3 linked regions of the Oryctolagus cuniculus genome follow. The protein of the gene in region 1 purifies or fractionates together with the protein of each later gene. This does not show direct contact. Links are inferred from orthologs where the notes say so. Each region holds a gene or a part of one and is shown on either strand. Other genes may lie near its edges.

The links.
Region 2: the proteins of FASLG (region 1) and SNX33 purify together in Homo sapiens (co-immunoprecipitation; 3 studies listed by BioGRID and IntAct, counting the BioPlex papers as one, with this or other methods). This does not show direct contact. The link is inferred for Oryctolagus cuniculus from reciprocal best matches to the Homo sapiens genes FASLG and SNX33.
Region 3: the proteins of FASLG (region 1) and SNX9 purify together in Homo sapiens (co-immunoprecipitation; 3 studies listed by BioGRID and IntAct, with this or other methods). This does not show direct contact. The link is inferred for Oryctolagus cuniculus from reciprocal best matches to the Homo sapiens genes FASLG and SNX9.

What each region holds. Positions count from the first base shown.
Region 1 is NC_091438.1:1,347,304-1,350,191, reverse strand, and holds the end of FASLG (tumor necrosis factor ligand superfamily member 6), read right to left. Parts: intron 1,817-2,888; coding exon 1,422-1,816; 3' UTR 503-1,421; downstream 1-502. UniProt on the Homo sapiens protein: Cytokine that binds to TNFRSF6/FAS, a receptor that transduces the apoptotic signal into cells. Involved in cytotoxic T-cell-mediated apoptosis, natural killer cell-mediated apoptosis and in T-cell development.
Region 2 is NC_091443.1:108,355,198-108,358,586, reverse strand, and holds the end of SNX33 (sorting nexin-33), read left to right. Parts: intron 1-1,725; coding exon 1,726-1,979; 3' UTR 1,980-2,867; downstream 2,868-3,389. UniProt on the Homo sapiens protein: Plays a role in the reorganization of the cytoskeleton, endocytosis and cellular vesicle trafficking via its interactions with membranes, WASL, DNM1 and DNM2. Acts both during interphase and at the end of mitotic cell divisions.
Region 3 is NC_091436.1:9,859,926-9,864,313, forward strand, and holds the start of SNX9 (sorting nexin-9), read right to left. Parts: upstream 2,863-4,388; 5' UTR 2,670-2,862; coding exon 2,658-2,669; intron 1-2,657. UniProt on the Homo sapiens protein: Involved in endocytosis and intracellular vesicle trafficking, both during interphase and at the end of mitosis. Required for efficient progress through mitosis and cytokinesis. Required for normal formation of the cleavage furrow at the end of mitosis.

The sequences.
Region 1 (2,888 bases):
AGGTAAGAAACCAAGTGTTTGGATGGATCCCATAGATCAGTGACTTCTTCTAGAGAATACAGTATCTCTGATGAACTGGCTTATTAGAAATGCCATTTTTATGTCTTACTATGTTTCAGATACTCTCTGGATGCATCAGCCTTTTTTTTTTTTTGTCCAAGGAAGGTCCATAGGGAACATAGAAAGTGGAAGAGCAAAGATTCAAATCCAGGTTCTTTAGCCCAAAATCTGTGCCCCTTGCCCTATGTCACAGCCCCAGAATAAGGCAAGTGCCATCAAATCTGTGGAAAATTGGGTAAGCTCACCACTGACATTAACAGTGGTAAAGGAAACTCTGAATAATAATGAGTGGAGAGGAAAGAGAACGTAGAGAGAAAAGGAAGACCTGACCAAATGGAAAGATGCCTCACAGTTCTCACCCCAGTAAATTCTTCTCCAAGTGTTCTAAGTCCTGAAGAATGAAGAAATCATGGAGGAAAGAAATAATAAGCAACAAACTGAATTTTAGTGATTTCCAAAAACTGTATTCATATTTATCTATATTCTAAAGTAGGTTTACTCCATGTAATATTTCATTAAAATATACAGAATGGATATAAATATTGCTTATAAAGAAAAACATCAGCAGCAGCTGACCATCAGAGATTTTTGAGGACTATTAGAGTTGGTTGCCAAGAAGCATTCCACATCTACCACCAAATGCAACCCGTATTTTCCAAAAATGCACTTCATAATTTTCACACTCCATACATATGTGACTCCTCTCTTCCTCTCCCTCTTGCTCTCCCACATAGACACACACACACACACACAAACACACACACACACACACCCCTACCATTGCACTGGAAATACACATGCAGTGTAGGGAATGAGCTGAGTCCCCAAAAGACCCCTCTTGCTTGTCTGTTAGCATCACTTGGCAGCTCATGCTACTAATTTCGAAGTAAAGATGCTGCCAAGCAGGCATCAGACTCGTTCAGTCTCTTTAGCTTATCTTGCAAGTCCTTTTCCATCCCTTGCACACTCATGTAACAACCAAATACGTGAAATGCATCCTCTGCTGAGGTAGCAAGTAGACCCACCTCAAGAGGTGAGGTAAAAGGTATCTTTTAAAATGTGCTGAAATTCTCTTGGCCACTTAACATGAATGTAGAATGCCTGGTAGTGACCTTTCAATGCTTTTGATCTTCACATGACAGCCAGGAGTTCTATGTTCTTCAGTCATCTTCCTCCTCCTGCCTGGCCCATGGACCTTGGGTGAGACTTGGAACTGCAGACCTGCTGGACCCTGTGGTCTCCAGGTCCTCATGGTTCATGGCTTGACCTCAAGAGGGACCTAAGAAGACCCTCAGTCAAGACAACATTCTCGGTGCCTGTAACAGGAATTGTAATGGCATCCCAAAGTACTTTTTTTTTTATCAGAGCTTATATAAACCAAAGAATGTCTTTGATTCCTCAAAATTGACCAGTGATATCTCAGAGACATTGACATATACATGGTCGGCACTGGTGAGATTAAACACTGCCCCCAGGTAGCTGCTCCGGGCCCACATCTGGCCAGTAGTACAGTAGTTCATCATCTTCTCTTCCATCAGCATCAGATCCTGGTGATACTTAGAGTTTTTCATGTAGACTTTGTGGGTCAGTGGCTGGTTGCTGCAGGACTGGCCACGGAAGTACACTTTAGAATACACAAAGTACAGCCCAGTGTCATTGATCACAAGGTTGCCCTTCTTATACTTCAGTCCGGAAACCAGGGCAATTCCATAGGTGTCTTCCCATTCCAAAGGGTTGGACCTTGAGTTGGACTTGCCTAAAATAAACCAGAGAGGAGCTTTCAGCCAGCAGTACTCATGCATTGGAAAAACTAGGCTTGCAAGGTGAAACTGCGGACTCATTAACAAATTTTCACCCAGTGACATAGCCTATACAGAGCTGGCTGAGGAATCTGAACTCAATCCATCACTGAGCTCCATCAATGCTTTTGTTGAATGGCCTGCCTCAATCTTAGCATCCACACAACTGGGACAGTGATACACGTACCTAGTCGATCATGACGAGAAATTATCAAGTCCGTGTAACTCTTAGAAGCAAAGATTTTATTATCTTAAGTATTAGCATCAAAACTGCTAGGCTTTAGGTTTTTTCATTTGGAAAAGCCAAACCTAAGCCAAAATTCTAAAGTCTGGAAAGATTTCAGGGATTATCTGTCCATTTCTTACCTAAAGTAATGACTCTTCAGCCCCTCAATTTGGGCTAAAATTCGCTTTCTTCTGTGTCCTTATTCCCTTTTTCTATTATCAGAGAACTCTCTCTGTTACTGAAATTGTCACTAAGTGCTTGTCTTTTTCTATTTGATTTCAAGCTCCTTGAAGGCAGGAACTGTGTTACCCATCTGCATGCTCCCAAACCTTGGCACAAAGCAGGTGCTCAATAAATGTTGGCCCAACTGGGTCATTCCACAGTCTCTGCCTAAATAATTCTAGGAACCATGGCATTCCTCTTTCTGTGATATGTGCCCAATTTCCAGCTATTTATGAAGTTTACAGTGGGAATATCCATAACATAATGTTGTTAAGTATTTCATTCCACCTCACACTCACAGGATTAAAGTTCACAAGTACAAGGACTGAGTCTCCTCTCCCAATCCTGTTTCTACTTGTGGACAAAGCAAATTGAAGCTCTCCCAGGAAACCAGGGAAGCACTGGCTAAAATAATTCCATACAGCCCACCTCCTAAGCTCTTTTCTCTTGGGTCTGTGTCACAAATCTCCTAGGGGTCTTTGGAATGACAGAAAAGGGGAGCCCTTTATGGGCAGAGGTTATATCATAATCAGCCCAACTGCAGCTTAGGACAAGGCTTATACCCCAAGTAGGGGTGAAAG
Region 2 (3,389 bases), on another chromosome or scaffold:
GAAAGCGCCTTGCCTTCCTCCGAGGCCTCCTGGTGTCGCTCTGCCCTCCCTGTGCCCCCCCAGCCCGAGCCCCCTGCTGGTCCGTGGACACCCCAGAGTGGTGCCTGGTCTGTTCCTACCCCTCGGGCCTTAGTCTTGGCGGCAGAAAGCGCCTTGCCTTCCTCCGAGGCCTCCTGGGTGTCGCTCTGCCCTCCCTGTGCCCGCCTTGCCCGGGAAGGTGGGGTCCGGGCTCGCATTCCGGGTCCTGCTCTGGCCTACCTTCCTCGTTGCCCGTCTCACCCCTGGGGACCTTCCTGAGCCCCCGTGTTCTCCTGGAAGACCCCGCAGAGCCCCCTGCAGAGAGGTGGCATCCACCCCGGACTGGCCTGTGGGCCAGGCACCCCGTGGGCCAGGAAGGGGGTTGGGAGCCCTTAGGCAAGTACTGCCCCATCCAGGCCTCAGTTTTTCCTCACAGTAGTGGGGTGAAGGGTGGCTCTCGCTGGGCCCCCTCCTGGCCCTTGGTGGAGAGTCCCCTTCTGCCCAGGGCTGAACCGTGGGGGTGCCGAGTGGGCTGGGAGTTGGGGGCTGCAGGTTTTCTTTGGGGTGTTGTATAGGCAGCCCTGGGGAAAGGCCACTGTTGGCCAGCGAGCCACACACTGCCCCACCATGTGGGTGCCGCTCCTTTTAAAGGCGTGCAGATGCAGAGCCCTGGGCCTGGGCCGCTGTAGCTCCTCCCTCAGAGCGCTCTGCAGTGTCATTCAACTGGAGTGAGGGTAGCACAACCATCTGGGAGAGGCAGGCAGGGGGGAGCCGGCTGGGGGTGCCGCCTCCCTCCCTAGCCCTCCCCACCTCCTTGCAAGGCAGAGTCCCAGAGCGCCCCCCCTCCCCGAGGAGGCGGTGCCCGGCACAGGTCAGGTGCCCCCACCACCAAAGCGCCTGTGGCTCGGAGCTGCCAGGCTGCGCAGCGATCCAGATGCTTCCGCAGTGGCTCTCCTGTGCAGGTTCATCCCGCTGCCCATCTGTCACTTGCTCCTCTGGTCCCCTGGGGGCTGGGTGGGAGACACGGCAGGTGGCCTTGGCAGTGGGTGTGGTGGGGGCGGGGTGGGAGCCCGGGGAGGGCAGATGGGGGAGGGGGCACCGGGCGCTCTGGTGTAGAAGCGGCACCTGATCCGGGCCTTGAATTATGAATAGGGGCTCTGAGGGCAGAGGCCCGAAGGCAGGACAGGACAGGCTGAGCTGGTGAGCTGGGGGCCCGTGAGGAGCCTGTGCAGGGGCTTCCTGGGCCAGGTGCCAGGGAAGGTGCCACCTCGAGGGACCTCTTTCAGGTGCTGCCCAGAGTGGGACGGAGGGCCAGGGACTGGGAGGGACGGGGCCCGAGTCAGAGCCACAGACGCCTCACCATCCGCCAGGGCCCAGGCCTCGCTCTGGGCGGCACCAGGGCCCTGGAAGGATGTGGACAGAGGCAGGTGGTCAGGGAAACCGCAGGATGGCCAGAGCTGTGGTGGCACAGAGCCCAGGGAACCTGGCAGCGACCTCCCACCGGGGTGCAGGGAAGCCTTCCTGGACGAGGTGGCATCGGAGCTGAATGAGCAGCCAGCACGAGCGGTGCAGGACAGGAGCCCCCTGGTCCTGGAGGTAGATACAGGTAGCAGGGGGCTGCGGCGGCCGGGTCAGGACGTGCGGCGGAGCTGGGGGCGGGGTTCCGGGAGGGGGCGGGGCGCCCTCACGCCTGTCCCCTCCCCCCAGGCGCCTTCGCCAAGGTGAAGGAAAGCCAGCGCATGAGCGACGAGGGCCGCATGGCGCAGGACGAGGCGGACGGCATCCGCCGGCGCTGCCGCGTGGTGGGCTTCGCCCTGCAGGCCGAGATGAACCACTTCCACCAGCGCCGCGAGCTGGACTTCAAGCACATGATGCAGAGCTACCTGCGCCAGCAGATCCTCTTCTACCAGCGCGTGGCCCAGCAGCTGGAGAAGACGCTGCGCATGTACGACAGCCTCTGACGCGCCGCGGGGCCGGGCCGGGCGGGGGCGGGGCTGGAGGCGCGGGGCTGACCCCTCCAGGTCGCTGGAGGCCCAGCCTGGCCTCAGCCTCCCCCGGGGCCTGTCAGAGGCCTGCCCCGGGCGGGGTGGGGGGCGCCTCCGAGCGAGGGTCAGAGAGGAAGGCAGTGCCTATGACGCCGGCCGTGCCGCAGAGGGGTGCCGTTCCAGCGGTGGGCAGGACCGTGGGGAGCACCGAGAGGAGCCCGGCCAGCTGGGCCGGTGGATACGGCTGTCTCCTGTCCCTCTCGCTCTCGCAGGCACATCTGTGCCCGCTGCACGGCGATGCTGGCCCGCGCAGCCGAGGGAGGGGACCCCCGTCGCTCCCGTGTCCCTGGCGGGTTCCTGGAGCAGCGGCTGCAGGCCAAGCCCCTCCCACCGCGGACCCTGCCGTACCCCGCTCCGGTGCGGGGACACCCCATGGACCACAGGGGGTCCTGGTGGGCGCCTTCCTGACGGCGACCCGCATAGGTCCTGGCTACCTAAGTTGACCAGCAAGAACTCCCCACATTCCACACAGGCCCTGGGGTCTGCTCAGTCCTGCCCAATGCACAGAGGGGAGCCCCAGGGGAGTAAACTGGCCCCACCCCCACCCCGGGGCCCAGGCCCATCTGCCCTCGGCCAGCTTCACTGTGATGCACGCTCCTGCTCCCGGTCAGGTTGTGCCTGCCACCTATGTTTACATCCTCCGGGGTCGCTGCCTCCCCACGCTGCACCCAGGGTGTGGCCTGGCGGTGTTGGGGGCAGCTGACCTGTGCCACCGCGGCCCCCAGGACGTCATGAACTGCTCCTGGCTGCTGCTGCTTTTCTGTCTTTCTTCTCGATAAACCTTTCATGATTCGGACCACGGAACCGCGGCCTTTTCTGAGCCAATCCGGGAGGGTTGAGAGCCTGGGGGAGGGGCCGTGGGCCAGACTTAGGGGCCTCGGTGGGCGCAGGTCTTGCCAGGTGCTCCCAAAGGCAAGCTGGCTGGGGGGAGTGGGAGGTGGCCACGGGCCCCTGCTGGATGCCCTCCCTCCCGAGGCCTCCCTCTCCTCATCTCTGAAATGGGTGGCGCCCTGCCCCGGGGCCTGACTGTGCCCCTGCCCCATGCCCCTGAGGTGGGCTGGGGAAGGAGTAGGAGGCTGGGCCCCAGGATGGTCTGGGGAGCAGGAGCCTCCTCTTCCCCAGGGAGCCAGATCCCAGCCTCACCCCTGCAAAGCTCGGGTCTGGGCAGAAGGACGGAGAGACGCAGAAGCTGGGTCCTGCCTGGGCGGTCCCAGGGTCCAGGCCTGCAGGGGCTCCCAGGTTAGAGCTAACCAGGAGCTGATGTGTCCCTGGAGAGGCAGGCGTGCTGGGGGAGGGGCAGCCTGGGCTCCCTGCTGGGGGCGAATG
Region 3 (4,388 bases), on another chromosome or scaffold:
AAACACATTAGCTTTTCATGATATCTGTTAAATGAGATATGACTGGACTCAAAATGGTAAATTCAGCATTCTGCTGGTAGAGATTCGAAAAAATCCCAATAATCCCTTTAAAGTGTGCAGGTACTGATTAACTCTCTTCAGCCCAATGGAAGTCCTCCTAAAAGATGACTTCTATTTTTCTTCTATTGTGTTTATACCAATGGAATTTTTAAAAATCAAGATAGTCCAGAAAAACTGCACCTTCAAAGAAACATGTAAGAACAATACATACAAAAAGTTTCTCTGAAGAGAACTAGAGCCCTTCTCTGGTAAGTTCAAAAGGAAACGCAACACCACCAGGTACTCAAACACTGAGTTCATTCTCATCATTGCATAGTGACAGCATGCAGGTCGCTGGCATCTAAGACTTCATCAGAGGTTAGTGTTTACTGCATACTGAGTACACGCTCCCCACCTACCCAGTAGAGAAGGGGAAGTGGGAAGGGTGGGGGATTTGTATCGTGGACACAACAGGGACAATCTGCTTCTGTGGACAATGAAGAATGAGGCTCTGGCTGGACCCGAGAACCACCAGGAATTAGGAAAACCAGAAACTAAGGAAGGGGCCTCTTTCCTGAGGGCTGCCTTGCTCTTCTTTCTCTTAAAATGGCAAGTCTGTCCCAATGTAAACATGGAAATGGGGGCCTTGTGGAACCGGGCTTAGAAAACTGAATGCCAGAAAGACCGGAATTCGCCTTCAGAGTAGGGCAGATAACAAAGCAGAAGGCGCTTACACATCCTAGGGCTTGTGTTGAGTGAGCCAAGCACAAGAACCACTGGCCTGGGGCCGGCGCCGTGGCGCAGTGGGCCAAAGCCCCAGACTGCAGCACCAGCATCCCATGTGGACGTCGGTTCGGGTCCCAGCTGCTCCATTTCCAATCCAACTCTCTGCTGTGGCCTAGGGAAGCAGCAGCAGATGGCCCAAGTCCCTGAGCCCCTGCACCCACGTGGGGGACCCGAAAGAAGCTCTTGGCTTTGGATCAGCTCAGCTGTGGCCAGAGTGAACCAGTGGGTGGAACATCTTTCTCTCTGCCTTTCTGTAGCTCTGCCTTTCATATATATAATCAATCTTTAAAATAATAATAAAAAACACTGTCCTTTCCAATTTTATGAAAAAAAAAATCAAGTTCAGGCCTAGTTACCAAAGAAAATTTTCATCGCGTGTACCTGCATTAGTCCCTAAGCTGTGCCAGTCACAGGCTGCTTTGAAATTGGCAAGACAGTGAGTGTGTAACAGGACGTGTCACTGGTAATTTCTGAAATGCTTGGCAACAAACTTCAGAATCACATTTCCTTAGTTCTGGACTTAAATTTTATTTTAAGAAGGTCAACACAAAATCAGTACATGTCAAAAAGGTGGCAAGTTCTATCACGTCTAATGAAGCCAGCATAGTCAATCACATATTGACAAGAAGGCAATGATTTCCGGCAAGGACAGCCCTGGATGGATTCTGGACACGTTCATCAACAGGTTGGAAAGGCGATCAGACAATTCTGATCTTTCAAAGCGATTTCAAACTCCCTATCACTTCCTGGAATTATCCCTCTTACTTAAAAACCAACACCACCAATAACAAAAATGGAAGGTGTTCACCCACCCAAAAGGGGCTTTGGGAGGCTCAAAAAATACATGTGGAAAAGGGTGCTGTTTAACGAAGTGCCATTACAAAATCCACGCGGAAGGAAACCCACTGCCCACACCAGCTCGGGGTGGAAGCCCCTGCCCCGTCCTCTGGCTGCGCCCCTGGCTCTCCCCGTGACCACATCAAGTGTCCACACCAACGAACTCCCGAATGCGCCCAGGAAAGCGGGGAGGGGGGTCTCGGCTTTTGCAGACTCAGGTGGCAAAGGGTGCCTGCTAATCTCACAAACCAGACCGTAGAAGCAGCAAACCACCACTCCTGGCTCATCACCAGGCAGGAGTCAAAGTTCCATCACGTAACTCGGGCCTGGGCCTTTTTTTTTTTTTTTTTTTTTCAAGCAAACACGTAATCGAAAGCGTACTCATTTCCCTCTTGCTGTTTTACTCAGACTGGCAACACCATTCAACATGAAAAAAGCAGCAAACCCGACGAAAAACACTCCGAAGTGAAGGCGGCGGGAGCGCCGGGGCTCCCCTCCCGGGATTTAAAGCGCCGCGTCCTGCCGGGCTGGGGTTCGGGTCCCCACACCGCCCCGGGCGTCCAGGGGCCACCGTCCGGCCGAGGGAGGGAGGTGGAGGAGCCGCCGGACACCACGCAGCGCCGGTCGCCTGCGGACCGAGCGGCCTCCCGGGACCTCCGGGGCTGCGGGAACTTTAGGTCCCCGGCGCGCCCGCCTGCAGCCCCCGCTCAGGTGCTAACTTTGCAAACCGCCCGCAGCCCGGGGTCCCGCACCCACCCGGGGTCTCGACCCGCCCCAGGCCCGAGTCAGTCCCCGACGCCCGCGCTCCCCACCAGCCCGGCCGCCCGTGCTCCCGGCCCTCCGGCACCCACGGCCACAGGGTGCTGGCTGGGCCGCGGGCCGGCCGGGGGACCCCACGGCGAGCGCTGGAGGCCGCCGTCGGCCTTCGCGGCGCCCCCGGGACGGACCCTCCCGGCGCCGAGCGGCCGGCGGGGCCTGGGCCGCGCGCCCCTCACCTTGGTGGCCATGGCGGGCGGCTCCCCCGGCCCGGGACGGCCGGCTCGTTTCCCGCGCCGCGGCTGGTCGGCCCGAAGTCGGGCAGGCGAGGGCGGCGGCTACGGCTGGGCCCCGGCGCGGCGGCGGCGGCGGCGGCGGCGGCGGCGGCGGCTCCGCCTCAGCCCTGCTCTCGCGCTCAGGCCCCGCCGCTGGCGCTGGGCGACTCCCGCCGCCGCCCGCTCCTGCAGTTCCTGAAAGTCCCCGGCTGCGCGGCCCCCGCCCCTGCCGGCCAAGCCTCCCATGGACCGCGGCGTGCGCGGCGCGGCCGGCGGAAGCGCGCCCGGGGCCCGCGGCCGCGGCCCGGCCTCTAGGCGCACTGGCCGCCCCCGCGCCGAGCCCCCGCCCCGGGCGGCCGCCGCCGCCGCCTTCTGTTCGAGGCTGGGGTCGGGTGCAGAGCCCGGGTCGCGGCCCCCAGCGGCACCCCCATGGCCGCCCCGCGTGTGGTAGAGACAGGGGCCGCACTGGGGAGCGCCCCGCCGAGGGAGCCGAGCCCCGGCCCCTGCACACACGCCGGCCCCGCGGCTTCCCCGTGCGTGAGGCGGGAGGGCGGCCACAAGAACTCTCGACGCGCCCCGGCAGGACCGGAGTCGCCCGCCCGGGGTCTCTGCGCCACTGTGGGGTCGCTTGTGCTCAGGGCCGAGGCCCAGGGGTGCCACACACACGCACACGCACACGCGCGCGGCGAGGCGAGGAGCTGAGCAATGGCTTCCAGCGCCCGCCCGGCTTCCCTCAGGCGGCGGTCCCGGCCGGGCCGGGAGGCCGGGGCACTTACTCCCGATCCGTCCCATTAGCCTCCTTCTCGCGAAGTTTAAAAAAGCCCCAGGACCCCAGAGGGTTGGTGAAATGGAGATGAGAGCGCTGAAAATTTTCCCTCTTTTCTCCAGAGTTGGGTCTGCGGGTTTTGTTCATAAACAAACGACTTAGGTGGAGCAAGATTTTTGACTCAAGAACAAGACAAGCCTGGGGCGTATACCTTTATTGGGAGAAGATTGTATTTTGGTTTTGTTATCAGGGATGTGTTTGTTGAAAAAGAACCATCAGATCAGCGTTATTAGGCTAGGGGAATAGAATCTCGAGGTAATGTGAAATTTGTGTCTGCTCCTAACTGCTGTGTTCGACCTCGGGAGACTTCACTTAGCCGCGGTCAGTCATGGTGTGTACCTGTGCTACAGAATGGGCTGTCAGTCTCTTCGTTGAGCTCACTGTCGAAGCCCTAGTCATAATTTTCATAAAAAGGTGTGGTTTTTTAAAGATTTATTTATTATTTGAAAGGCAGAGTTAACAGAGAAATAGAGGGAGAGAGCCAGAGAGAGAGAGGTCTTCCATCTGCAGGTTCACTCTCCAAATGGCTGCAACGGCCCGCAGCTGTGCCGATCCAAAGCCAGGAGCCAGGAGCTTCCTCTGGGTCTCCCACGTGGGTGCAGGGGCCCAAGCACTTGGGCCATCTTCTACTGCTTTCCCAGGCCACAGCAGAGAGCCGGATCAGAAGTGGAACAGCCGGGTCTACCCGTTATGCCACAGCACCGCCCCCCCAAACATTGAAATTTGAAAATGACATAACACAGCTGGGAATTCTGATTGTTACAAGTAAAAAAGATATTCATCAACAAGCATTGTTCTGTAATAACCCCAAACGGAAAGCAAACTGTGTTTGCTCATAGGACTATGTCAATAAATAAGGCGCATCATAC